7 linked regions of the Coturnix japonica genome follow. The protein of the gene in region 2 interacts with the protein of the main gene of each other region in a pairwise test. Links are inferred from orthologs where the notes say so. Each region holds a gene or a part of one and is shown on either strand. Other genes may lie near its edges. The genes, in order: integrator complex subunit 6-like, CEP63, TXLNB, DTNB, SMC3, PPP4R1 and SMARCE1.

Region 1 (3,500 bases), on a different chromosome or scaffold from region 2:
AGAAAGCGGGATTAATGACAACTCACAGCTGATTCAAGCCTGTTGCAAAATCAAGACTTAAAGAACTTTTGTTGTTTTATCCTACAGGCTGGATGGAAAGAAAATCATGCAACGTTCATGAATGAACTGAAAAACCTTCAGGCTGAAGGACTTACAACTCTTGGCCAGTCCCTAAGAACAGCTTTTGATTTATTAAATCTCAATAGATTAGTGTCTGGAATAGACAACTATGGACAGGTAATCCATTTGTCTCTAGTCTTCCTCTTTCTCTGCGTTTCTAAATTATACTGGGGAGGGATTTTGATGGTTTAAGTATATTTTTGGGGTTTTATTCCCCTATTTTTCAGCGTTCTGTTGGGTAATTGTATGTTAAAACTCAATAGATTTGATCTTCTTTCTTATTGCATGTTGTGATCATACCATGAGATACCATTATCATACCATTTTTTTGTTGTTATTGGACTCCAAAGTAGTAGTACAAATAACTTAGTCTGTAGTTGGACAATTGCTGCATTAGAGCCTGTACGCTGGATGGCAGCAAATTTCAGTTTTATTTTATCTGCAGTTCACATTCTGTCTTTCTCCTTTCTCACATTTGGAAGATTTAGTTAAAAAATATTCAGTTTTTGCCCCACTGTCGTCGTGCAATAATGATGTCACTGAGTTGTTATGTATCATATATTTGTGGAATAGAAAACTTTGAAGTTATTACTGGAAAAAAATAGGCAAGTAATTCTAACAATGTGTTCAGTGACTGACTGTGCACATGCACTTTGTCAGTAGTTCTGCATGGCTCTGTGCCTGCTGAAAGAGAACTTCTGGTTTGATAAGTTGTTCATTATATTGCTTATTTCATGATGACAAAAATATTAGTCTACAGCTGAGTGTCCTGTGCTTTTGTCTCTAGGGAAGGAATCCATTTTTTCTTGAGCCATCTATTTTGATTACCATCACAGATGGAAACAAGCTGACGAACACGGCTGGAGTTCAAGAGGAGGTAAACTGACAGTAAATTATTTCAAGTTATGATCTTAAAATTTGGTGCTGTGTTAAGGTGAATATTTATTGTGCTTTTTTTCCCCTGCAAAGTGCGCTTCTGTTTCATCAGCCTGTTCTACAAAGCAGGGAAACTGGGTGTGCTGTCATTGCTCAGCCCCTAAATTCATAGCCCATGTGGATTTCCGGACTGTAACTTCAGTTAAACTAGTGGAGAGAAGAAAAATGGGGTCCTTTACAGAGAAATAGGTATTATGTCTTCAGATGTCTTGTCAGATATTGAAAACTTTCTTAAATGTTTCTTTACCAGCTTCATCTTCCTTTGAATTCTCCTTTGCCTGGAAGTGAACTAACCAAAGAACCATTTCGTTGGGATCAAAGACTGTTTGCTCTAGTGCTGCGTTTGCCAGGAGCTGCATCTGTTGAACCAGAGCAGCTTGGGAGTGTGCCTACAGATGAATCTGCTATCACACAGATGTGCGAAGTTACAGGAGGTACCTGGATATTACTTTGCTTTGGTTTACATTTGACATTTGCCTTAAAACATGTCATTTGATTCACTTTTGCTTTAGCTTTTCTCTCGCTCAGAATTACTCAGTGTCCTCCTGAGTCTTTGTGGTGCTTTTTGAACTTAGTTTCCTGTAGCACAGGAGAGCTGTTAAAGAAAGCCATGTTGTGCACCAGTGTAGGAAGGACTGAAAATGTCTTTTATTGTCCTCCCAGGGGCTGGCTTTGCTCACTTACAAGATTCATTATTTACAAGCATAAATGTTGAGTTGAGAAGGAAGAGGTGTTACTGGGACAATAATTCTGCTGAATGGCTGATAAGCTAAAATAGAATCTTAAAATAATTAATTGTGGATTTTGATCTTAAAGATCTTACTCAGAGTTTTTGTTAGGTTGGTTCTTGAAAAAGTGTTGTATGGGTGGGGAGGTTCAGGTTTGTGTTGGAGTTGATTAGATTTGGATAGGCAAAAGCAGATGGATTATGCAGACTTCACGAAATCAGAACTTGTTGAGGGCCTTTATAAACTTGGTCTTAGTCCAGCCTGATTTAGCCTTGATGGCTTTTCTTATGAAGAAAAATCTGAGCTGTTTTTTTTCCTTTGTTTTTATTGCATTTGTAAAGCATTTTGCATCAATTTCTACTAAGCTTGCTGCTGTTATTTTTGATAAAGCTGAAAGCCTTGGCAACGTGACTTGATATAACAAAATACCTTCCTCAATTTACACAGGGATAATAGGAAAGCTTTGAGTAATCTTAATGTTTTCTTGTGTAGGTCGTTCTTACTGTGTTCGGACACAAAGAATGTTGAATCAGTGTTTAGAATCTCTAGTTCAGAAAGTCCAAAGTGGGGTTGTTATTAACTTTGAAAAGTCAGGACCGGATCCAGCTCCTATTGGAGAAGGTACAGTAACCATTTTTTCTGCTGATGCTTTAAAAAAAGCCTTTTGTGTGCATGCAGATGTCCTTAAGTGTCTTCAGTTTCCTTCCTACTGACTTTTCACTGTTGTGTACAGGATTTATCTGAGGCCTGATATGATCTAAAAAAAGTGATTAAACTATAAAGCTTTTGTGAGAGAGCTCTGGTTTCTCTTTCAATACCCCAGATCACAATGAATGTACTTTATATAACTTGAATTGTGTTTACTTAGTTTTGTCTTTACAATATTGTTCCCAGTACTAGTTTGGTCCTTGGTGAGTTGAGAAAGTGCTGTATGTTTGTATGGATTTGAATGGATAACCTTCCTGCTTGCCAGCTCTCCTGCCACTTTCTTCACCTCTTTTTTTGGAGGCTGAAGGAAGCAGCAGAGGGAAGTGAGTATTTAATGAAAGTGATAAGGTTTGAATTAGTGCTGTCAAAACTTGTGTATAAATGAAATGAATTGAGGTCTATTCGAGTCATTCTGATAACTGATCACAAACGCTTGAATGTTCCTTGCTGCAAGTGAAAAAGTCTGTGCTAAGAACAAGGGAATTGATCTGTCAGCTGCAAGTGAAGTACACGACCAAATAGGAAGATGCATTCTTAACATGGAACAGGCTTTTAGCTTTGCAGAATTCATGGCTGGAAAGGAGAGAGCTGTGACCAGTTTGTACTTAGAAAATAAGGATGTTCCTGGAATGACAGAAGCGTAATAGCTTTTAGGACCCCCGAGCATCCTAGCATAGCCTGTTTTTAACTTTGTTTTCATTACTTGGTTTTAATCACTTTTTTCTTGCTTTATACATTTTTTTTTTTCTCCTTTTGCTTAATAAATATCATTTGATTGGACGTATGCTCAAGGCTTTCCTGTAGGGCCATGCAGGACAGCACCTCAGCACTTATTATTTTCTTGGGTCTCTATTAGCCCAAATACTCTCCTGTGGCAAAACAGCTGGTGAAATTGTTTTTTTTTTTTCCTTTTGTCACGTTTTAAGTGGTGATGTGCTGTGACTACATATGCGTGAAGATGCTGAGAGCCTTCACATAAATTGAGGAAGTTCTCATCTAGAGAGAAAT
Region 2 (3,500 bases):
GCAATTTCCATGAGTTAAACATCTGCAGAGTTTTAGTGCAAAATCTTCCTGTATTTGCCAATCATAGTCACCACAGCCCTCATATGGAAGTTGCTATGGGTACAGGCAGCAGCAGTTTGCTCCTTCAGCACTTCCTTAAATTAAAATGGGTGGTGGTGGAACCGGCCTTGATTGTATGGAGAAACTGAGATCAGATCAGTACGCAGCCTCATCATCATTTTGCTTCCACTGAGTCTGATTTTATTTGACGGGACCTGTGTTCTCTCAAACCATATCAGTTTGCAAGAAGTGATTTCAGAGCTTCCATCTCGACAAGCTCCTTGTTCAATGCAGGGTGGTACACACACAGTGTCCTGCAGGTGGAACAGCAGCATTCCATGTTGGTGCCTTTGTTCTGCCTGTCTCCACTTGCTTGTCAGAAGCATTGAGTTAAGTGGCATGAGCAGCCAGCAGAGCACTGACCTTTTCTCCCCGGAGAGTTCAGCTTGGTTGATGCTCACTGTGAGCCATAACTTAAATTAATTTGGTAGCCTCAGCTTTGGTGACAGAAGGCATCTGTCCTCATTTACAACACCTTACTGCTCAGTGTGATTAGCAGGAGATGTTCCAGCTGAAATAGTGGATAGGCTGCAGAGCAAGGCTAAGGTGCTTTGGCCAGATCAGGCTATATTGCAATGGCTAGAATATAGTGTGTGTCTTGTGGTTAAAACTGCACTGCACTGGTGTTTTACCCATGTAGATGGCATTAAGCTGCAGTGTTCCTTAGTCTGTTTTAGTACTGTTTGGGTAGATAGATTTTATCTCAGTTTACCACCATCACCAGTAAAATTACAGGTACAGTGTCCACCTCATGGAGGTTGCTGAAAGGATAAACCAGTGCTTGGAATCTGCTGACTCATTTGGCAAAACACATTCTCAATGAATGTGCTTAAGCACCTTCCTGACTCAGGACCCTGGAGAACCTTTCCTGACCACTGTGTGGATCCGAATCATGGGGTCTTGATTCAGATATAAGTTCTCCATGGGTTCCCAAATCGGGAATGATGTCTTCTGAGGTTCATAGGGACCATTTGGAAACTTGTTTAAATGCTTGAGTTGGGGAGCTCATCAGATGGAGAAATCTGTGCAAGTTGCGAGTGGTGATTTGCACAGAGGGTCACTTAAATGTCAGCAGTTTTCTCCTCACTTTTGCTTCTGATAAGAGTTCAGCATTCAAGCAGTAGGCGTAGGAGTGTTATTTTCTGTTGGCATTTTCCAGTTATTGTGAAGTACGTCGTGTATCTGAGCAGAGGATGACAGATGAAGTAGTGTTGATGTTATGTATAATGGCAGTTCTCTAATCTTCCTCCTCCTGCCGAGCGGGAGAGTTCCACTCCTCACCTGAGCTTCACTTTAACCTCTAAGAATGTAGAACTGTCCCTGTGGTTGGCACCAGGAGATGGACCTCAGGTTCTTCTGCTGTTACAGAGTCCTGGGGCTGCCTGTAGAGAGAGGAGGTGCCATGTTAACAGCTACATATAGACCTCCATCTGATCGATATTTCAGTCATGCTCTCATTGTGATAAGACAGAGGTCTAATTGGAGCTGCTGATGTCACGACTTAAGCGTGGCATCCTGCTCCTCTTATACCACTCAGCGTATTTTGTGATCCTATCAGTATAATAGGCTCATTATACAAATAGAAATCTTCATTTGCAAGCTGTGTGGCCTTGATTGGGGGAATTGTTTGCGTGAAGCTATTTTGTTTGCCTTCCTTCAATGTGCTATTTAATTCCTGCCCGCTGGCCTTGAACAAAGTTGCCCCTCTTGCTGAATTCTTGCAGTTGGCCAGGCTGAAGAGAAGCTACGAGAAGCTGCAGAAGAAACAGCTGAGAGAGGCAAGAGAAGAAGCCAACAAGAGGCAAGGGGATGACCAGGTTGAAATGAGCCGACTGAGCAGGAAGCTGGAGGTGGGCCATGGGGAAGCAGCTGCTAATTGGTTCTTATGGATGAACTGCCTTTCGGGCTTCACTGGTGACTCTATTCAGACAACTAGGAAGGGCACTGTGAATCCTGGTTCAGATGTACTCTCCATCTACTCTCTTAATGAAGCTCTTCTCGATTGCTTGTGTAATAAAGACTGTTTCCTGCACCGAGGCCTCTAAGTACGCAGGGTAAACTATTTTGAAGATCTTATTCTGCAGTTGAGTAAAAGGAAGAAAGTGCTGGAAGAGTAATTAATTGTGTGAGTGAAATGAAAGCCCGTGTGGTGAGGTTGTCATCTCACTTCTTGGAGGGAGGAGGAGCTACAAATGAAACTTCTTCTCAGCCATGTCTCAATCTCTGCTGTGCTGGGTTTTACCATGCTCTGCTTTTCCCCAGTGTACCCTCTAGACAAGGCTAACAGAGGCATGGATAAGATGTAGCATCCAATTGCTGGAGCTGAGGATAGCATTAGAGCTCTGCAGTTAGCGGTTGCCAACGATTCCAGGGAGGGCCTGTTTTGCAAGCTAAAGTCAGTCCGTGTTGCTAAACCTCTGACAGCAAATCCACGTGATGAGCTGTGAGCCTTTTAGCACTTAACGTTTGTAAACAGCAATAATTGACACTGATATTTTCAGCTGGGAGGGAGAGGGGAACGCAGCGAGCACAGTGTGAGAGGGGTTTTGTGCTGCTGAGTTGGTGCATCAGATGGCTGGTTAATGGTTTCCCTGCTGTGGGGGAAGGAGCGTGAGGATGTGGTGGGGAGGGAGAGAAAACATGGGTATGAGCTGGGAGGGGGCAAATCTTGTCAGCTGTGTGGATGTGTTGCTCTGAGCCAACCCTGCTGTCCTTGCAGGAGTTCCGTCAAAAATCACTTGACTGGGAGAAGCAGCGTTTGCTCTACCAGCAGCAGGTGGCATCTCTGGAAGCACAGAGGAAGGCTTTGGCTGAGCAGTCCGAGCTCATTCAGGTATGGTTAATACGTGTTGAAAGTTTCTGTTCTGTTGTGCAGCAGGTGGGAGGGCAGGGAGGGGGGAAGAGACTAATGAAATCTCTCAGGCTTGAATCCAGTTTAGGTTGCCATTGAAATGACTTTTAATGTCCCAGTGGAATAAGCTTTACGTGTCTGAGTGCTGAGTGGAAAAAAGATCCAGAGTCTGTCAACAGAAGTTAGGTAAACCTCTTGCTGCTCTCACTCCCCCGCTCCAATTAGCAGAGAAGACCGTAGGACGAAGCTTTCCCTGAGAGCCAGAGACCACAGCAAACGATGTTTGAAAGCAGCTGCTCCATCAGGTCGTTTAGTTTGAAGCTGTTTACCTGCCAATAGCTAAATATGTACCTTCTGCATCCAGCTCAGAGCATGGGGTTGAAAAGCAGCCTTCCCCAACGGCAGATACTTCCACCAAGTGAAGAAGAAACAACATTTTTCAGACCTGTTCCTTCCCTTTCTTTTTCATCTCCTACAGGCAAGGAATAGTGGGGTTGCTGTCCCTGAAAAGCTGGTCATGGGGTGAGTTAGTGGTGCTGCAGCAGAGCCA
Region 3 (3,997 bases), on a different chromosome or scaffold from region 2:
TGTTTACACAGGCAAGCAAACATTTTAGCATTTTCTTTCATTCTCCTTTAGGCTAAATCAGAGATCTGATAACTGCTTTCAGCACAAACACAATGTCTGTTAAGACTTAGCACCTTGTTTTGTGTAATGGATTCCACAGTGTGAGAGAGTTTATATTCAGGAAGACAGAGCAGCTCTCATCTTCTGAAAACAGCCTTTGGCGACGGGAAATTTTACTGCAGTAATTCCCAGTCCTGCTCTTGCTCCAACTTGTTTAACCTTGATATGCATCAGGAGTTCTGTCTTATCTGGCCATAAAAGACTTACAATGCCAATCCAACAAAATCCCAAGTATTTACATTACTGCTGTCTCAGACACAGTAATGTCTAAAAATTAGGTGGCTGATCCCAGAAGAGAAGTTCCTCAGCCCCTTAATTTCCAACAGACTGAGGCAAAGGAGACAGAGCCTGCTTTTTGACTCTGCCTCTTGACTTCTGTGACTCCTACAGCTATCACTGTCTTCACACACACAGGGATTTTCTATAGGGCCTTAGCTTATTTTATGGTGAGGGGTAGGACTGACCAGTCATTTGATTGACTCTGAGTGTTTGGTCTTGTTTACTTTTTTCCTCCTACACTTCCAAACCCTGTACTTGCCCCACAACTCTGAGATCAGTATCTCTCTCAGCCCTACCTTTTTGCACGCAATTTTGATTCCAGACAGTCATAGTTGCTCCCTACAGATATTCCCTACAGACTGAGAAAATAGTACAGCCATACAATGCTGTTTCTACATCAGCCTTGCAGTTTTTAGCTCTGTGTCTGCTTGAGATAGCCAGTCTAAATTTCAAGCCCAGACCCTAGGTGTGTGTGTATGTTTCACTTTGATTCTGAGTGTAAGTCTGAAACCCTAAGTTTGTCTTCATCATCAGCAAAGTTAGAGAAAACCATGCTGGAGTCTGTGGGGACAGCATTGCAAGTCATGGCTGGGAGGAGGTGTTGGCAATGCAGCTCTTGGTTGCTTAGCCAGGAAGACCCAGGACCTAGCTGTAGTGATGGTCTTCCACCACTAGGAAGCATCCTGAGAGCCTACTGCCTCCCTATGCTGACTGTGGCAGAGCTTCTCCTTTCCTCTCCTCCCTCAGTAAACACTCAGCAAGCACATCCCAAGAGAAGGACGGACCTCCTTTGAACACTGCCCCAGCCTTGGATGAGAGGTGACTGATGCCAGGCACAGGCTGATGCCTTTCTGTAGGAGGACTCCTGTCCAGACCTGCTGTCCTGCAGTGAGACTGGTGCCTGGGGTTGATGCAATCAGCATGTTGGGTGAGAGAGCACACAAATGCGGCAAACACGCAACATAACCAGAGGCAACAGAAAAGAAGTGTGCAAGTTCAGTTAGATAATGTACTGAGTTGGTTTAGATCTGACCGTATCCCTTAGTATTTCACATATATGGCACTATCTGCATTCACTCTGCTTAGACATCTGTCAGTGCTTCCGAAGCAAAAGGTTGGCAAAGCAAAAACTCATGAGCTGTGTTGTTGCTGCTGGACAAACCACCCCACACAGTGCCCTGTGCCAGCCCTCCTTGTGCTGCTGGGGTGGAGGTGCTGCTGTAACTGGAAGCACAAACTGAGCATAAAACACAGGTCTTGAGCTTGGGCTTGCATGCTGTCACAATTTATTACTATTATTATTATTTTGAACAGAACTCTTACCATTCCTTCTCACAGGAATTTCTTTGTCCTTCCCTTCTTGCAGTCTGAACTTCTGGAGGGTTTACTAATTCGCCTATATTTAGCACCTGCCTCCCCATGGGTCCAACAGAAAGACACATGGCACCTGCTCTGCAGCCAGGAGTTATTTTAAGCACTTCTAAAACGGGGAATAGTATTTCACACTTTTTGCTCAAAATTCACATACTCGCACATACAAGTTCCCTAAAACAAAGTGTTCTATATAATTACACCAGGCAGCATATGCCAATAAAACCTAAAGCTTCACTTCAGCATATCACCATACTAAACTACATAACACCTCCCAGCAGCAAACATTAAACCCTGAAATGGCCAGCAGTGGTGTAGATCCAATTACCCTCTAGAAATATAGAAGTGCCTTCTTATAGCCTGAAGGCTGTTCTATATATTACTTCAGAACGCTATGACAAAATCAGCTTTATCAACTATGTGCTGCAGCTGAATGGTGTTGTGATTTATGCATGATTTTCTAGCACAAAATCGAACAAATCTGGCTGTTTGGTGGCACGTCTTCTTACAGGCATGGATAGAGCCTGGACCCAGAGACTTTCTGATGTCTCCTGTCTTGTCTTTCATGTGGTACCTGAGTCTTCATCAGTTTTTGTTGTCACAGCCATAGCCTCTATTTGCACCCAAAAGCCAGCTCTCCCAAGTCAGCTTACATTTTTTTGATCATTCAAGCATTTCATCCTTTCACCAATGGGCTTCCATGCTCTCCTGTTTTCCTCACATGCCACACAGTGCCCAGGCTTTCCAGTGGGGAAAGTGGGCTGACTGTCTCAAAGGGAAGCACTTAGATTAAAGTCCTTGTGCCATGCCACCAGCAGTAACAGCAGGGAAGCTCTTTGTCAGACTTACCAGAGCAAAGAGAAGTGCAGGCAGAAGTCAGGTAGAAAGCTCAAACCAGGGCACAACAGCAGCAGAACACCGGATTATAATCCTGCCACCAAGAAGATCAAGTAAGGGGGAAGGAGAGAGTGACACAGCAGGAACAACCACTGCAGAGCCCAAATGCGCACTATGCAGGGGACTGGCTGTGATAGGCGAGCAGGGAGGCTGCCTGCTAGTTGGCAGCATAACCCAACTATGTTGGCTATTCCCTTCTCTGACAGAGATAGCACGAGAGGTCAGTGACTCAGGCCCTTAGAAAGAAGAGATACAGGAAGGATTCAAATACAGCTGCTACTCTTGAAAGCTAAGTCTTAGTCTATCAAGGATTTGATGTGTTGTGCTCTGTGAAACTTATCTTTATTAAACATGGACTGATCAAACTCTAAGTCTTCTGTCTACACCAGGAAGACTAGGGTGGCTTTCCACAGTGTGAGCTCACACCTGTGACTGCCCTTTGCAGTCTGGTCTGGATTTGTTATAAACCTGATTCCTGGTCATAGACTCACAGGAGGACCACTGGATGTCTCTTGCCTTTTGCTCATAGCAAGCTTAGCTATGAGCTGAGACCAGGTCTCTCAAGACCTGTATTAAGTATTAGCATTAAGAGACTGGGCAACCTGTCCTGCTGCTTGGCTGTCCTCAAGGTGAAAACGTTTCTCCTCACATCTGGGTTGAACCTCCTTTCAGCTTCCTGTCCTCCCACCTACACCCCTATGGAAAGCCTCTATCTGTCTTCTTGTTAATCTCATAGGTACTGCGGGCTGCAGTTTGGAGTTCTCAAAGCTCTCCCTTCTCCATCCCACCTTCCTTAGTCACAACATGGGGCAAATAATCCAACCCCAGCCACCACAGTGTCCCTCTGGTGAATGGACTCATTTCTGCGACTGGAATGCTAGGAGAGATGGCTGGTGTAGTCTTCTCTTTGAGTCAAGGAGCTCTCAAATAAATGTTTTTGTTGCTGCCAAGGTAACTTGCCTGACCTACTTTCTTCATGATACCGTGCAGGCTCACTCCGGCCTGAAGTTGTTTGTATAAATAGGCAAGCACTCCTCAGGGAGTTCAGCTGCATGCTGTTTATCCAGCGACCAGCATCTCCCACTGCTGTGGCCCACAAGTCACTCAGGCAGCATCTCAAGATGCCAGATGGCCTAAGGACCATCTGCTGCTTACTCCCTAGGGAGAGATGTAGGTCAGTTTAATGCACAAAAATGCAAGCAACTGGGAAGCAATAGACTGGTGCTGGAAGTGGCAGGCAGTGCTATGAGAAGAGAAATAGGACTTCAGCTCCAGTGGAAAATAATAAGCCTCGGAGCAAAAATAGGAGGAAAAATAAGTATATACTAAAAAAATTTGGAGTAATTTCTTA
Region 4 (3,952 bases), on a different chromosome or scaffold from region 2:
CCCTGCACATAACAGGGGGGCTGAAATCAGATGATCATTGTGGTCCTTTTCAACCCAGGCCATTCTGTAATTAATTCTATGATTCTTTACTTCACTACACCTCTTACCAGGAAAAAGGAAGAGCTCTAGTAGTTATTTCATGGGCATACATTTAACAGGTTTAATGTCCCTTCCAACCCAAACCATTCAATGGAAACCCAAGGACAGAAAAAGAAGAGCCACTCACACTAACAGACCACCAACGCCTTCTTTCAAAGCATATTTTACACAATTCTGATCATTCTTCTAGTTCAACTACAATTTCAGACTCAGTTCCCAACCCTAAATGGAATTAATTAAAGCATAAGTAATGGTGCACAGAAGTATTAAGAATGCTTTGATATGTTACCTCAATATCTACACCAACCTGACAACAGAGCATCCATGAGGAACCGCATACACCTCCCGGTTCTACGGATCCCAAACAAAGCTCCAATGTTTGCTTAAGAACTTCACAAGCCATAATGAATGGCAGTTTAAAAGAGCATCATCAAGAAACTCCAGATCAAGACCAAGCCTGTATTGAATTACATTGCAAAGTCACAAGTTAGCGTTTTTTTGGTGTTGCTTTTACATTTTGGGGGCTTTCCCTTGTGTTTGTTAATTTTCTTTTAAACACAGTGGATCAGGAGCTGCTTCTAAAGAAGGTTTTGTAAAAAGCACACAGATATGATACAGCACCTTTCCTTCCCTGCAGGCATTCAAGGCCAGGCTGGATGTGGCTCTGGGCAGCCTGGTCTGATGGTTGGTGACCCTGCACACAGCAGGGGGAACTGGATGATCACTGTGGTCCTTTTCAACCCAGGCCATTCTATGATTCATTCCATGACTGCAAGAGAGCCACGAAGCTAAGCTTAGGCACAAGTTATCAGCAGGAGCCTATCTAAACACTAAACCAAATGTGCACCTTACAATCATGATTTCTCCACTTTGGCACTGAGAGAAAAACCCGAAACATAACTCAACATAAATGTTACAAATTTAAGTCCTTATCACCAAATCTCACCACCCCAAAAGCACAAAGTTAAAGAGCAGCAGTGATAAGGCTAAGAAAAGCAGGCTGCTTTCTATACCACTCACAACTGTTATTTATGCTGGTACTGACAAATAATGTGACGAACGAGAGGGCTAAGCTGGAACTGCCCTACAGCAATTAATTCTTTCCATCTTCTCCAGTTGCTTGTCAGCAACAACACCCTTTTACCCAAACTCTCCACTAATCTAAAATATCCTTTGGAAACACAGAAAGCAACAGCCTCAAACAGACAATTCTGGGTTACCTCTATTCCTTCGAGTGCACTTTGTAATATCAGCTGGCAGTACAGGATCACACACACTTACCAATGAAAGGCAGGAGGACAAATAAAAACCAACCCAAGTAATTCTTCAGGCCAACGTTTCTCACATTTCCCAACGTGGAAATGAGAATTTTAACTTCTTTTTTTTTTTTTTTGCCTGGAAAGCCACAGCAGCCAACAGCAGAACAAGGAAGCTGACGCACTGCACACTCAGTTTCAGGAACGTGAATAAGAAAACTGAAAGTACAAAGCGTTTTTAAAGAGCAGCACTGCACAGCTGATGACCAAACTCAAGGCAGTGGCTCGAGTGTTATCAGAGCGTTCTCAAGCAGCACACAAACCATTGGCAAAGGGCTCCCCAGCCTATCTAGGGCTTAACAATCACTTATGAATAAGAGGAGCGCTGCACAGAATCACAGAATTGTAGGGGTTGGAAGGGACCTCTAGAGATCATCGAGTCCAACCCCCCTGCCAAAGCAGCTCCCTACACCATGTCACACAGGTAGGCGTCCAGGCGAGTCTTAAATATCTCCAGAGAAGGAGACTCCACCACCTCCCTGTGCAGCCTGTTCCAGTGCTCCGTCACCCTCACTGTATAAAGGAACTTCCTATGTTGTACTTTCATCCCATTACCCCTAGTCCTATCCCCACGCACTACTGAAAAGAGACCAGCCTCACCACTATGACATATACATATATAGCACTATGGCTCTCCAGGTCCATCAGGTTGCCTAGAGAGGTGCTGGATATCCCTGCACACAGCCAAGGTCAGGCTGGATGGGCTGTGAGCACTGATGGAGCTGTGTGTCCCTGCTCAGTGGGACAGGTGGTCTTTAAGGTTCCCTTCCAACCCTAAGGATGCTCTGTTGACCATGAACCCACAGACACAGCCTGTTTAGCTCCGTGCACATCAGCCCAGCCACAGTTACCTGGATGCCACATTACCTGGATGGCACACGGAGCCTCTCAGGGCAGCAGCCACCTCAACTCCTTCTGCCAACATCGAAGGACGACCTGAAAAACAACCAACCACACGAGAAAAGAAAAAAAAAGAAAGAGCCACTATGACAAACAGCCGGTTATCGGCCCCGTTCAGCTCAAGCTAAGACCCAACTTCATGCTGCACCCTTAGCGGGAGGCTCCACGTCGGTACACGGACGGGCTGCCCATGTCACGGCCTGGAGGGCCCAGCACTCCCAGCACCGAGCTTGGGACGGGTCTCCTTCCTCAGCCCCACGCCGCCCTCCCCGTTTCTCGGCTCTCGGAGCCCGCCGCTATTAGCGCAGCCCAATACATAGACAATCCGACCGGTCCCATTGATGCCCGCAGCCCCCACACACCATAACCGTGTTGGCCGCCCCGCCCCGCTCCGCCCGGGCCGCATCCACCGCCGCTCCGCCTCACCGTCCCCACTCCAACGGTCCCCGGCCGCCTCACGGCGCGCAGCCAATCGCAAAGCGTCTCCGCGGGGGCGCGCACCCTCCGGCCAATCCCACCCCGCCCTCTGCCTCCGAGAGCCAATGGCTGAGCGAGCCCTCGTGCCTCGCCCCGCCTCCTCACCTCCACAGCCAATCGGCGAGCGGACGCTTCTCCGGCGGCGGACGTGCGTGAGCTCGCCCCGCCCCTCCTCGGGAGCGCTCGTGCTCTCCAGCCAATCAACAGCCGGCGGGGCTTCGCGCGCTCCCGTCTCCTGCGCAGGCGCAGTGGGCGGTCAGCGCCTCTCCTCAGGGCGATGAGGGGACGTCGAGATGGCGGTAGTGAAGCTTCAACCCCCTCCACATCTAATACCAGCCCAGGCTGCTCAGGGCCACATCCAACCTGGCCATGAACACCCTCAAGGATGGACGGAGCATCCACAGCCTCATTGAGCAGCTGTTCCAGCACCTCATCGCTCTCACAGTAAATAACTTCCCCCTGACATCCAACCTCAACCTCCCCTCTTTGAGTTCTCTCTCAGTAACACTTTAATTCAGCCCACTGTTATGTTTTCCTTTTACCCAACTGGGATGCTGTGTAAAACAATTCTACCTCTTCTCATCCAGCGCTGCTGCCTGCCCTGTGCCCCCACTGCATTGGAGCCATCCGCATCTGAATGGAATTACAAGAGCAAAACACCTCCTGGGACTCAGCTTCAGCACAGCTGCCATTTAAAGAGCTGTGGTTTGGCCCAGCTTCAGGGGGAGGTCAGCAAAGGGTCTCGGTAAGTGTGAAGGGAGACGGCAAACCCAAATTTAGCAGCAGGGAAGAAGAAATAAAAGCAGAAAAATAAAGCCTTGGGGTTGGTTAGGTGTTGTAGGGAGAAGTGGAGGACTTGGAATAACTCAGTGTATTTTTCAATTAATCTGAAGTAAAAGGAGATATTTTCCAACAGGCTGTGTATGGGTTTTCATGTGCCTGTGTTCTTTTTCTTTCTTTTCCCATAGTGATGCAAGAATACTAAAAGAACCACAAAGAAACCACAGAGACCCAAGGAAAGGGAGCAGCCCGAGCTCCCCAGCTGTGAGGTCTCACCAGCACTGAGGCAGCAAAGTCATTCCAAGGACAAACCTCTCCTCAGTGATGAATGGTGCAAAATATGGCGCAGATTGGAGCCGCTGGCTGTCGGAAAGGTGAAG
Region 5 (3,976 bases), on a different chromosome or scaffold from region 2:
TACAGTACACATAAAAGGATTGTAGCAGGGAGCTGTTTTTTCCTCATCAAAGCTCCTTTCTCCTGCAGAGAATGTTACAGCTCTGCTGCTACAAAGCAGATCTTTGCTGTTGTGGCTCTGCTCATGCAAGAAGCCTTTTGCAGCTTGAGTGAACCTGGATTTCTTTCTAAGTCCTTCTTGCAGGTTTACCCGCATGTCTCTGCCTTCTATCAGGTATAGTGATATAGAGCTCAGTCTAAGAAATGCATATGGCTTTTTTCACATGTTTGCAATGAGCTTTTGGGCAAAGGATGTCCTAAACGGCGTCCAGGTGTGGAGCCCTCAGTACAAAAAAGACATGGAGATTTTGGAAAGGGTCCAGAGGAGGGACAGGAAGATGATCAGGGGGCTGGAGCACCTCCCCTATGAGGACAGGCTGAGGGAGTTGGGTTTGTTCAGCCTGGAGAAGAGAAGGTTGCGGGGTGACCTCATTGCAGCCTTTCAATACCTGAAGGGAACTTACTCCCAGGAGGGGAGTAAACTCTTCGAAAGGGCTGACAATAGCAGGACACGGGGAAATGGTTTTAAGTTAAAAGAGGGAAGATTTAGGTTGGATGTTAGGGGAAAGTTCTTCACTAGGAGAGTGGTTAGGCCCTGGAACAGGCTGCCCAGGGAGGTTGTGGATGCCCCGTCCTTGGAGGTGTTCAAGACCAGGTTGGACGGGGCCCTGGGCAACCTGATCTAGTAAAGGTGTATGTTTGGTGGCCCTGCCAGGCAGGGGGTTGGAACTACATGATCCTTGAGGTCCCTTCCAACCCGGGTCACTCTGTGATTCTGAGGCGGCCCCGACCGTGGCAGCGCCCCCTGCAGGCGGGAGGCTGCACTCCTCCCTGTCGGCGTTGCGGCCCCGCTCTGCTCACACTTGCCTTTGGCGCCCAACCCGCCCCCCAGCGGGAGAAACCACATTTCCGCGCTCTCTGGGGGGATTCGGTAGGTGAGGACGGGCGGTTTCGGACGGCTGCTTCGCCTTAGAGCTCCTTAAAAAGCTAAAGAGATATTGAAATCTGATAAAAAAGGCGATATTTTTAGTGTCTACTGCCTGGCGCCTTCTCCGGCCAGGGTGGGGTGAGATCTCTTCTCCGCTCTCCCCCTCCGCACTGTGCCGAGTGGTTCGCGCCGGGACGGGCAGGGGTGGCTCCGCCGCCATTTTGTTTCGTGAGGGGTGAGCGGGGCTCCGCGCCGAGCTCTGTGTGGCGGCCGGACGGGGCGGGAGGAGGCGGCAACGGGGGCCCGGAGTCGCTCGGAGCCGTCGTACCGGGAGGAGGCGGTCCGGGTGGGCTGCGAGACGGCAGCAGGAGGCGGCGGGGCGGCTGCCTCCCTCCCCCATCCTCGGCAGCCATGTACATCAAGCAGGTACGGCGGAGGGGCCTGCTGCGGCCTGCCCCGCTCCGGAGATAGAACGGGCCCGGCCCGGAGGGGAGGCGCGTGGCGGGGCCTTGCGGCCTCTGCTCGGGTGCTCGCGGGGCCCTTGGGCGGCGGTCCCGTGCTCCGTCGGCCGTTTCCATTCATTGCGGTGCGTGGTGGTGGAGCGAGGGCTGCGCTGCGGGCCCTGGGGACCTTCGGACGGGGCGACCACAGTGTCCCGGCCCTGCAGGGCACGGCCGGCCTGGACACTGTGCTGTTGGTGCTGGGGTGGAGCCTGGCCCGCCGAGCACTGACCATTCCAGCTGTGCGCTTCGTCCCTGACAAGCACCCAGCAGCTGATGTTCAGATAAATGAAGTCCTTGTGTGGGCCTTCTCCTAACAGTTTTTAAGGCTGTGACTCGCATTATTGTTGCTGTTAGCGTATCCCTGCACTAGTTATATATGCTGCACATCGCCGTCGAAGTTTTTGTCCTCGTTCTTACTGCTATCTCTGTACGTTCATCTGAAGCCTGCTAGGATTCTTACTTCTCTCTGCACTCAAAATTAATTAGGCCTTCTGACACCCATTGCGTATAATGCTTCAGACTATGTTTGGAAGCACACATTCTTCATGGAGATCAGGTTTTCATCAGTTGTTTGTCGACACGGGAGCGTTTGCAGATGCCTTTTGGTACTGTTTTAGTACACCTGTGTCACTGGTTCAGATGCATGTTTAATATATGATGCATGTTGCAGTACTTCAGATAAGAAAAAGCCCTACAGACTTTTTGAAAGCCATTGGTACCAAGGCAGAGCTTACTGTTACTGTGAGGATCTCCCATCTGGTAGATGGAGCCAGCCAGTACTTATAGGGTCAGGCGTCAGATCTTCTGTGAACAGCCACAGTGTTTGAGCAGTCATCAGCCAGTACACGGTCCCAAACTTGTGTTCTATACTTTGATCCATTAAATACTAATATCCTTGATTACTTCCAGTATGGTTACCTTATATCTAGACCTGAATACAGTGCAGGTCCAGAGTTTCATTTTGCTTTCTAAACTTACACTGTTAAGAAATCTCATAACATGTTTTGTTTTCTTCCTAGTTGCTAATTCTTCCTTTTTACGTTAGTTTTGATGGTGAAACGTCAGTGAGGTTTTAACAAGATCTTCTGGTGGTGAAATGCTAAGGAAGGGCACAGGGACTGAATGTCAGTTCTAGTCCATTTTGAAGTGGTCTTCCTAAAAGATCTGCAGCTTTTCAGGCGGCTGTTATTCAGATGTCACATTGTTATATATGTCAGATTGAGGAAAGCTGATGCAGAGTCCTTTCAGCACAGCTTTGATGATTGAAAAGGGCTGATTAATGCTGAGCTGTGCTGGAAGCCGGATCAGTTTTGCTGCTGCATGGAACTAAAGTATTCAGATACAGTCATTCTAGACTAAAATTGGATAGTTGTACTTATAGACTAGTGTTTGCTGTGTAGCTCTTTAGCTAAATTCATTGTGTAGGTTGTATATGTTTGTTTAGGAAGCAAATTCAACAGAACCAATATTTCTGCCTTTCACTTTCTTTGTGTTACTGTGCAGCCTAAAGAAAAAACAAGTCTGTCTTGCTCCTAGGTCTTGCTTTGACCTAGATATGTGCCAGTATCTTTTTTGAGCAGAGAGAAAAAATCTCAGTTCATAAAATGATGCTTAGGTGGAGGCCAAGTCTCATAATACAAGATACTGGTCTTGAGCTTGAGAGCTGACAGGATTAGGGAAAAGACATCAAGTGTATCAAGTGGTCTTGGAGGTGTTCAAGGCCAGGTTGGACGGGGCCCTGGGCAACCTGATCTAGTAAATGTGTATGTTTGGTGGCCCTGCCAGGCAGGGGGGTTGGAACTACATGATCCTTGAGGTCCCTTCCAACCCGGGTCATTCTGTGATTCTGTATCATAAGTGATGTGAATGTTGTGTAATATCTTGAGGTTTAAAAAGTGCTTAAGAGCAGAGGTAATTCTGTCGCTTTACTCCATAGGTAATCATTCAGGGCTTTCGAAGCTACCGAGACCAAACCATTGTGGATCCATTCAGCTCAAAACACAATGTCATTGGTGAGTTCCAATATCTGTTTTTTCACACTAATTAAAATTGCATCAGATCATGGTCAAATGAGTCCTTAACTGTTTATATTCTTCCTATGTTTGATTACTTTGTAATTTCTGCACTGGAAGCTTTTTTACAGTTGTCTGTTAATTTTACAAGGCATATTACAGCATGTTTATGGCAAAGCAATCTAGTGTTCATTTTTACTGTGACCTCAGAGTGATTCCATAGGAACTGAGTGAGAAGTGAACTGTGAGCACCTTTGTATGTATAGATGTCCATACTGGACAGTCCTCATTTAAGAGACTGGGCTTTTTGAAGTAACTCCTGATAATCTCAGATATGTGAGGGGATGAGTGAAGCTGAAGGGCTTTGGAGGCAATACGGTAGCAATGATTGATGCAGAGAACATGAAAAGCCTTGGATGTTTCATTGCTAGAAGGGAAGCTGTTCTGAACTTATACAGTCAATATTGGTCTTAAAGATGAGACACTGAGCCTTTA
Region 6 (3,500 bases), on a different chromosome or scaffold from region 2:
TGCTTTGTCAAGGTGCTAGGCAGCGAGTTATAGAGCTTGCAAGACTGGCAGGCTTCATCTGCAGACATCGACATCCTTCTGAGGTTGGTTCATCAGCTATTTCAGAAGAGCTCTTGGGTCAGGGGGTGCATGTGGTCTATCTGCAGTAGTGGTATCTTTCTTCATCTCAAAATGTGCTCAGCCAGCAAGGACTCTTCAGTCGGTATCTCCTGTACTCTCAGGTACTGGGAAGATGCATACAGAGAGCGCATAGAAGGCCCTAAGCTCAGCCACACTGGGCCAGTTTCATAAATGGGCAAACACTTTCTGATGTAAAAGGACTCCCCTTCTCGCACAGTTCTCTGTGCCAGAAGTGAAGAGTCTAGGTTTCATCAGTTAAGAGGACCAGAATTTGTCATAGGATGAAATTGGATGATTTTGCTGACTTCAGACCTGAAAACAGCTGCTCTGCTCATCCTAACAAAGAGATGGAGCTTACAATATCTTGTGTTCTGTTGACTATTTGGGCAATTTTTATGTAAGTGAAAGGTGAGTTACTAGGATACAAAGTGTTAGGCTACTTCAAAACTAGCTGGTGCTGCAAGCTCTCAGTAGCAAACTAGTCTTAAAAAAGAGAAAATAAATCAATATAAATCAATGGTGGTAATGTGTTTTTTCTCTAAGCTTTTTTGGAAGGAAAGATGTTTTTAGCAAATCTAGTTTTTTCTTTTCCTTGTATTAATATGATATATCGAGTTTTTCTTTCAAAATTAACAATCTCCTTAAAAGTCTGTCCTATTTACAGGTGCTTATTTTGGCCAGCTGTTGAATTGAATGTTCATTAAGCTAAAATTTCTTAGTCATTGATTGAAGTTTACTAAAACTTGCACGTATTTGAGTAGTCTTCTTCATGATCTGACTTCTTTAGTATGAGCTTACACATATATGTGTAGAGATTTTGCTTAAGGAGTTCAACCTGCACATATTTCAGAACATCCAAGATTTAGCTAAGATGACTTTTGTTGTATATGCTCCTATTACTGCTTTAGGAAGAGAAACAAAGCAAACTAGGAGATGTGGTGCTTGCTGTGTTTTGTTTTATTCAGTCTGAAGTTGTCACTTTTAACTAGTGTTCAAGAAAGCTAAGGGCTGCTTGCATTATCCACATTAAATACAAAGCTCATGCTACTATTTAGTTAAAGGTGATCGTTCTGACATCGTGTGTTCATTCCAAATATCATAAGATGGTTCTGTTGTGCCATTAAATTTTACCTAAACAGTTCCTGCCTATGTAAAGCTCAGTAAGGCACATGCCGTGTGTACAGTTTATTATTTAAAATATTATAAATCTGATCACTGTCACTTGAGAGTAGCTGCTGGGTTTTCATTATGTTTTTTCTGTAGGTCATCAGTTCTCTGATAGCAACTGCAGCTTTAGCGAATCCTGAAAGGAACAGGAGCTCCCCTCAGTTTGTTTCATGTTGCAGTTGGGTTAACTTTCTGCCTAGGAGTTTTCTTGGAAGTAGGTGATACTTGTAGGGAATTTGGATGGATCCTGATACGCGTGTTTGATGACTTGCTCTCTTGCAGTTGTTGTGGGTCTTTTTGTTTTTTCTTTTACTAATTGGGAATGTGGGCCAAGTCTTTTGTAGAAGTTTATTAGTACAGATTGTACTTGCACCTGGTTTTGCATAAAGGTGATGCTTATCAAATTGAAGCTTGCTGTAGACATACTGACTTGACCACTTGAGCACACAGTTTCTAAGTACAAGAACGTAAAAAAGCGTATTTTGACAGCGTGTTTGCTAACATTTACAGTGTCTTTTTTGTTTTGTTTTATTTTGACTCTGGCAGAGCCTACAGTGCGAGCAGAACTAATGGAACAGGTGCCTCATATTGCTATGTTTTGTCAAGAAAACAGACCTTCCATCCCATATGCTTTTTCCAAGTACTTACTACCTATTGTGGTACGGTACCTTGCAGACCAGAATAACCAGGTGAGTGTCTTACAGAAACAGTTTATTAACTAGTTGGATATTTCCACTGTGTGAGGCTTTTCAAGTTAAATAATTTAGGCTGATTTAAGAATATAATATTTTAGAGTGAAAAATATTTAAAATGACTTGAAATGCATTGCATTCTGAATTTACTAAAGAAAGTAGTATCTGCTTGATATTCTCTTGTTCACAGATTCCACAACTGTTCGTCTTCCTAACCTCTGGTGATAACTCCATAGCTCATTTGGCTGATTTGCTCTGAAACAAAGACCTCGAAAGGTCTTGTAATTGCTGCATTGCAGTAGATAACCTGTCACTTTATGTAATGTTTTCTCTTCTGACATACATGACCTTGCATTCGCAAGTGTTAAGTTCATGCAAGATAAATAAGCCCATGTTTTCAAATGATCTGGATCATTCCGGTTGATTCTGGTGATTGCTGAATCATTTGCAGGCTTTTATCAGTAACTGTATTTTTTCCAGATGCTAGCAAGTGTATGGTGTTACATTTGTCAGTACTAGATATAAAGCTACTGAAGAGCACTGAGAGCTAATTCCCCTAGAAGTAATTCCATTTGGTGATTATTACCTCCATGAAATTTATTTTTGGGTGTCAGTAGTTAAATACATATTAAGTCAATTAAAAAAGGTTCTCAGATTTTTATGTAGTCTTTTGCTAGATGGAATAAATGCAGTTATCCACTGTCAGACAAACTTGGTAAGAAGAGGGTTTGTTTAACAAAACTCGTATGCTGTAGAACTTTGTTACTCCCAGTTAGCTGTGTTGCTTCTCTTCCGTGACTTCTTGTTCTGTTTCCTTTTGACATAGCAGTCCTGACTTGGTACATACATAGGTGGACACTTACTATAATAGCATTCATTAGTTTACAGTAAGCAGAGTTCTGGGGCCTGATGCTGTGTTTAAATCATGACGCGTTTGCAGAGCACTTTTGGAGACCTTATCCTCTCTCTCCAAGCACCTTGAATATAGATGCATAGCAGTATGTAGCTATAGCTCCCAAAATACTTGGACCTACTTCAAGAAAGAAAAACAAAGACCCACCTTACCTCCTTATACTCCTTGATGATTGGATTTTTGTCTTGTTACAATAGGTAAGAAAAACAAGCCAGGCAGCATTGTTAGTTCTGCTGGAGCAAGAACTCATAGAGAGATACGACGTGGAGACCAAAGTATGCCCTGTCCTGATAGACCTGACAGCACCAGACAGCAATGATGACGTGAAGACCGAAGCCGTGGCTGTAAGTAATGGCAGTCTCAAACTAGAGGGTATAATGGTCTCTTGAATTGTTGGTGTTGCAGTGATTCTATTGTGTTTCCAAGATGTGCATCAATGTGGTATTAGGGAGAAAAATGTATATTGCTCTCCATAACTAATCCATAACTTTTTCTGCCATCTTACACTCAAGGCTAGGTTTAAAATCAATACGTTATATAGGCGATGAAAAAAAAAAACATTTGGACAAACCAGCACAGGAGGAGATTAATTTTCATTGGTTTATGAA
Region 7 (4,238 bases), on a different chromosome or scaffold from region 2:
CAGAACCTGTGGGATCCAAAGCAGCAGGAAAGAACCAACTGCAGTGTCAGTGAGTGTCATAGGAATTAAGGCACATGTTACAGATGGGAACCACGACGTCTCGCACCGTTCAGTTTCGCTTCTGGCCTTTATCAACAGCAACAACAGCGCAGTGGTTCCATTGCCCACGGTTCTCTGTCTACTGTATAAAGCTGGCTAATTATCATTAACCTTAAAACTGATGCGGTGTTGTTAATACCTGAGTAGTTGGCATCCTGAATGTAACGGCCTCTCCTGGCATTTTCACTATGCAGCTTTTTTCGTGTGCTATACTCTGTATGTTTTACAATACTTGAATTTAAACTAAGTTTTAATCGCTTTGAGGCACTTTAAACAGGGATACAAACTTACCAAAGTAAATAGCGGTACAACAATAAAAACAATAAAACCTGAGCTTTGTGTGTCCGTCCTGAGGGGGACTGGGTGGCAGAGAGCACAAACAAAAGCTGGTTTATGATCATTAAACATGTTCAGGGCTCCTGACCTGAACAACCCGCTATAAACAAACCTTGTACAGCAGTAAGAGCACATAGAGTAACATGGAAACGGAGCACAGGCAAACAGAAATGAGAAATAAATAGAAAAACCAACCAACTAAAGCAAAGGAAACAATAAATAACGATCCAGAATGATCAGTATGGAACTGCACTGAACACTGCAGCGACTTGTGCATGTTTAATGCTATCGACACCAAGCACAACTGAATGCAACGTACAACACAATGTAATGAATGTGGTCAAACCCAAGCCAAACCAGGGTTACTTTTCACCTCTAAGTATTTTCTTACCTCCTCCTTAAGGACGTTGTGCCCAGGTGCCGCTGTCGGACCCCAAGGTGCAGGTCTGGCTGCTGGCGGATCTTCCCATCATTATATTCCCTGTGTTATTGAATGGAAATCTCCATCTGTCCATGTCCGTGTCGTTACTTCAGAGCAGAGCAGGCCGCGCTGTGGTATCACAGCCAGCTTCCTCTCCCTTCTATCCCCTCTGGTGTCACACAAGCCCTGTCTATGTGCATTACAGACGATTCCTGCAGTTCTATGTGCATTACAGACACTATTCCTGCAGTTCTATGTATATTATAGACACTATTCCTGCAGTTCTCTGTGTATTACAGACTATTCCTGCAGTTCATGGTCACTCACAGCCGCTTTCTCCCTTTCCCGCCATGTTCTCCTTTCCCGCCACTCGACGCTCCATCTCGCGCCTCACGCGGCCCCAGAGCGCGGCAACGCCGCGCGCCGCCTCCGCCCCAGCCCCGTGAGGCAGCGCTCCCCGCAGATTCGCCACAACGCCTTCCGCTCTTCCTTCTCACCCCTCGCGGCGCGGGGCGGCCCTCGGTCTGACAGCGGCTCCGAGGTGAGCGGGGCGGACGGACGGATCAACCCCGCGCTACTCGGACACCCGCGGGAGGGAGCGGGGCGGAGGCCGTGGCGAAAGTGCGGAGCGGGGCGCGCAGGCGCGGTGTTCGCAGCCGGCTCGGCCCGGGCAGGAACAAAGGAGCGGCGCTGCGGAGCGGTGCGTGTGTGCGGGGCGGGACGGGCGGGGGGGCTCGGTGCCGGGATCGGTTCTGGGCTCGGTTCTGGGCTCGGTTCCGGTCTCGGGTTGGCGGCTCATCGCGGTGCCGAGGGGCTCAGGTGGGCGCTGCCCGCGGGGCGGCTCCGCTCGCGGCCTCTTCCCGGCGGCGCGGCCTCCGCGGTTACACGGGCCGGGCCGGTGTGTGAGGGTCCGTGTGGAGCCACGAGCTGGAACCGAACGGAACCGAGCGGCACCGAACGGAACCGAACGGAACCGAACGGCGGAGGAACGTGAAGTTCCTGCGGGAGAAGCGCCGTGAAATGGCCGCTGGGCTGAGCGGGGTGGCATTAATGGGACGGTTGTTCTTTTGTCTTTCAGAAACACGAATGTAACGTCAGGTGGCTGAAAATTTGCCTGTCAAAATGTCAAGTAAGTTTTCGGGCTTTTCTTCCTTTGGTGAATTTCGGATCCGGTTCCGCGGGCTCTGGGGCGCTGCCTGTGGGCCTTGTGCACAGAGCAGCCGTTCCTGGTTCCCGTGGTGTCTGTTGCTGTGCCGTCAGCTCTCACTGCAGCTCGGGCTGCACGGAGCAGTTCCTGGTGCCCACCTGGAGCTCTCAGGAGCTGCTGCAGCCCAGTCCAAGCGTTTGGTCTCACAGCAAATCTGTCCCAGCTTCTGCTGAGTCCTGCTTCCCTGTTTTGTTTTGTTTCCTTACCCTCTTCTTAACCGATGTGCCTGTAAACGTATCTCAGGTTCCTTCATCTGCCTAAATAAAAGACCAGAAATGTAGCAATGATGTGGGGTTTTGGTTTGATTTTTTTTTTAGTCTCTCCTTTGCTGTGTGCTCCAAAGTCTTTGAGCTGGGTCTGTCTTTTAGTAAATCCCATTAAAGCATTTGCCACAATGGATGCCTCTTAAAGAACTCATTCACATTTTCAAGGATTTTCTTTGCTTACGTTTATATTTTAACAGAAAGGCCATCTTATGCTCCACCTCCTACCCCAGCTCCTGCAACCGTAAGTACAGTGCTTTTTCTCATTAACACAGATCCTGTAGCAGAGCTGTTAGTGACTTACCAGAGCCGTAACAGTGGAGACGCAGCACCTTCCTGTGTTGGAAAAGCACGCTTGTTGTATTTCATTGTTAGTATGATATTCCTTGTTTAAAGTCATCCCAATTTCAGAACAGTTTGCAAAAAAGAAGCTGAACAAACTGGTTTCATCTTAAACATCTGCAGGATGTGGCCCTTTTTTAATCAGCAGTCACTGGGATTATTTACCTGTGTGGCCATTGAACTCATGCAGCCAATGCTGCCCATTGGGATGCTGGAATATTGAAGGCCAAGTCGATACGGTTCATTCTCAGACTCCCTGCTCAACTTTTACACAAATGATGAGCAAAAACAGGGCACGTTTTTGTGCTTCTGACACATTTTCAATGGGATGCAGATTTCTGTTATATTTGGTCAGAAAATGGAGACCCTCCGTGCTGGTAATCGTACTCAGATTTCATGAAAATGCTGATATTTTGGGGTCTGCTGCATGGCAAATCTCTTAACTTACAGTAAAGTGGTATGGAATGCCAGTTAAGAAAACGTGGCAGTGATGTCCAGTTGTATTCCTGCATGTATAAAAGTATCTTGAAATACTCGTGCTGTGGTTGGAAAAGCAGCTGAAAGCAAAGGCAGCTCTTGTTTTGGAAGCAATGCACTCATGGGAGAAAATATTAATGAGTGGAACAAATGAACGAGTAAGGATGCTCTTTAGCATGTGTCATTTCACACAGCTCAATAGATTTGTGCTCTTAGGAGGAATGTGATGGCAGCGGATCTCTCCTGTGGCACAGTGTGGGTGAATACTGAGGTGGTGCATCCTTTAGCCAAGCTATGACTTTGTCAGCAGTGCACACAAAACCAGGTTCATGTTGATGCTTTTATAGCCGTGATGTAGAATGGGTACAGTGAGCACATTGCTTTCAAAGACTGCTGAAATGGGTTTTAACAAAGTGGGACTCCAGTGTGAGACAGTGCAGGTAACGCATGAACCTGGCGTGGTGCTGCAGTGAGTGCTGGTGCAGCGCTCCATCACCCTTACCTGGCTGGTCTGCTTTATTTCCAACACCATCTGAATTCTGGACAAAGAAAAGAGAGTAGCTGAAGTGCAGGAGTGAGACTGACAACCAAGGGGAGACAGTGAACCTTGTGGTGTTTGATTACATCCCTGCTTACCCACATCTGTGTGCATGGAAATTAGATTTTCTCCATGTTCCAGGAGGTGAGAACAAATTGATCCGCCTGCAAGATCGGACAAAGATGTGTTTGGTTGTTCCTAAGATTAGTTTGTGGTTTCTAACCTGCACATTGCATTGCAGCGGTTCTTCAGCTCCGTCAGCCAGCGGCCTCCTAACAGAGCGGCAGCTCCGTGCATCGTCCTCTCTTGGTTTTTCTAATCCTTACAGTTCTCCAGAGTGTTTTGATTCTGCAGACCACCAGTGAAGTCCTCTGCTCCTGCTACTGTTGCACGGATGGTGCTTTGAGACACTCACGTTGTTTTTTTACCCTGTTTGCTGGCAACATCGTGTTCGTTAGGAGGCAGAAGGATGGCAAGAGGAGGAGGCAGAGATTTTTGCTGTTGTAGTAAATGTTGACTTGGGGAATTTTTGCCCCCATACTGCGCGCTGCTTTG

What was found.
Region 1: the proteins of CEP63 (region 2) and integrator complex subunit 6-like interact in a two-hybrid assay, tested with the Homo sapiens proteins (2 studies listed by BioGRID and IntAct). The link is inferred for Coturnix japonica from reciprocal best matches to the Homo sapiens genes CEP63 and INTS6L.
Region 3: the proteins of CEP63 (region 2) and TXLNB interact in binary tests that used the Homo sapiens proteins (3 or more experiments, as listed by UniProt). The two-hybrid records come from large-scale screens. The link is inferred for Coturnix japonica from reciprocal best matches to the Homo sapiens genes CEP63 and TXLNB.
Region 4: the proteins of CEP63 (region 2) and DTNB interact in binary tests that used the Homo sapiens proteins (3 or more experiments, as listed by UniProt). The two-hybrid records come from large-scale screens. The link is inferred for Coturnix japonica from reciprocal best matches to the Homo sapiens genes CEP63 and DTNB.
Region 5: the proteins of CEP63 (region 2) and SMC3 interact in a two-hybrid assay, tested with the Homo sapiens proteins (2 studies listed by BioGRID and IntAct). The link is inferred for Coturnix japonica from reciprocal best matches to the Homo sapiens genes CEP63 and SMC3.
Region 6: the proteins of CEP63 (region 2) and PPP4R1 interact in a two-hybrid assay, tested with the Homo sapiens proteins (2 studies listed by BioGRID and IntAct). The link is inferred for Coturnix japonica from reciprocal best matches to the Homo sapiens genes CEP63 and PPP4R1.
Region 7: the proteins of CEP63 (region 2) and SMARCE1 interact in binary tests that used the Homo sapiens proteins (3 or more experiments, as listed by UniProt). The two-hybrid records come from large-scale screens. The link is inferred for Coturnix japonica from reciprocal best matches to the Homo sapiens genes CEP63 and SMARCE1.

What each region holds. Positions count from the first base shown.
Region 1 is NC_029519.1:4,023,480-4,026,979, forward strand, and holds part of integrator complex subunit 6-like, read left to right. Parts: intron 1-87; coding exon 88-237; intron 238-907; coding exon 908-997; intron 998-1,306; coding exon 1,307-1,490; intron 1,491-2,276; coding exon 2,277-2,405; intron 2,406-3,500.
Region 2 is NC_029524.1:2,647,865-2,651,364, forward strand, and holds part of CEP63 (centrosomal protein of 63 kDa), read left to right. Parts: intron 1-1,823; coding exon 1,824-1,949; intron 1,950-2,818; coding exon 2,819-2,932; intron 2,933-3,500. UniProt on the Homo sapiens protein: Required for normal spindle assembly.
Region 3 is NC_029518.1:48,823,892-48,827,888, reverse strand, and holds the start of TXLNB (beta-taxilin), read right to left. Parts: upstream 2,801-3,997; 5' UTR 2,599-2,800; intron 1-2,598. UniProt on the Homo sapiens protein: Promotes motor nerve regeneration. May be involved in intracellular vesicle traffic.
Region 4 is NC_029518.1:95,642,749-95,646,700, forward strand, and holds the start of DTNB (dystrobrevin beta), read right to left. Parts: upstream 2,801-3,952; 5' UTR 2,742-2,800; exon of another isoform or gene 2,678-2,741; intron 2,352-2,677; 5' UTR 2,283-2,351; intron 740-2,282; exon of another isoform or gene 721-739; intron 1-720.
Region 5 is NC_029521.1:22,934,301-22,938,276, forward strand, and holds the start of SMC3 (structural maintenance of chromosomes protein 3), read left to right. Parts: upstream 1-1,176; 5' UTR 1,177-1,377; coding exon 1,378-1,392; intron 1,393-3,405; coding exon 3,406-3,481; intron 3,482-3,976. UniProt on the Homo sapiens protein: Central component of cohesin, a complex required for chromosome cohesion during the cell cycle. The cohesin complex may form a large proteinaceous ring within which sister chromatids can be trapped.
Region 6 is NC_029517.1:88,765,711-88,769,210, forward strand, and holds part of PPP4R1 (serine/threonine-protein phosphatase 4 regulatory subunit 1), read left to right. Parts: intron 1-1,833; coding exon 1,834-1,976; intron 1,977-3,089; coding exon 3,090-3,236; intron 3,237-3,500. UniProt on the Homo sapiens protein: Regulatory subunit of serine/threonine-protein phosphatase 4. May play a role in regulation of cell division in renal glomeruli. The PPP4C-PPP4R1 PP4 complex may play a role in dephosphorylation and regulation of HDAC3.
Region 7 is NC_029542.1:4,157,577-4,161,814, reverse strand, and holds the start of SMARCE1 (SWI/SNF-related matrix-associated actin-dependent regulator of chromatin subfamily E member 1), read left to right. Parts: upstream 1-1,438; 5' UTR 1,439-1,556; intron 1,557-1,656; exon of another isoform or gene 1,657-1,675; intron 1,676-1,934; 5' UTR 1,935-1,978; coding exon 1,979-1,985; intron 1,986-2,526; coding exon 2,527-2,570; intron 2,571-4,238. UniProt on the Homo sapiens protein: Involved in transcriptional activation and repression of select genes by chromatin remodeling (alteration of DNA-nucleosome topology).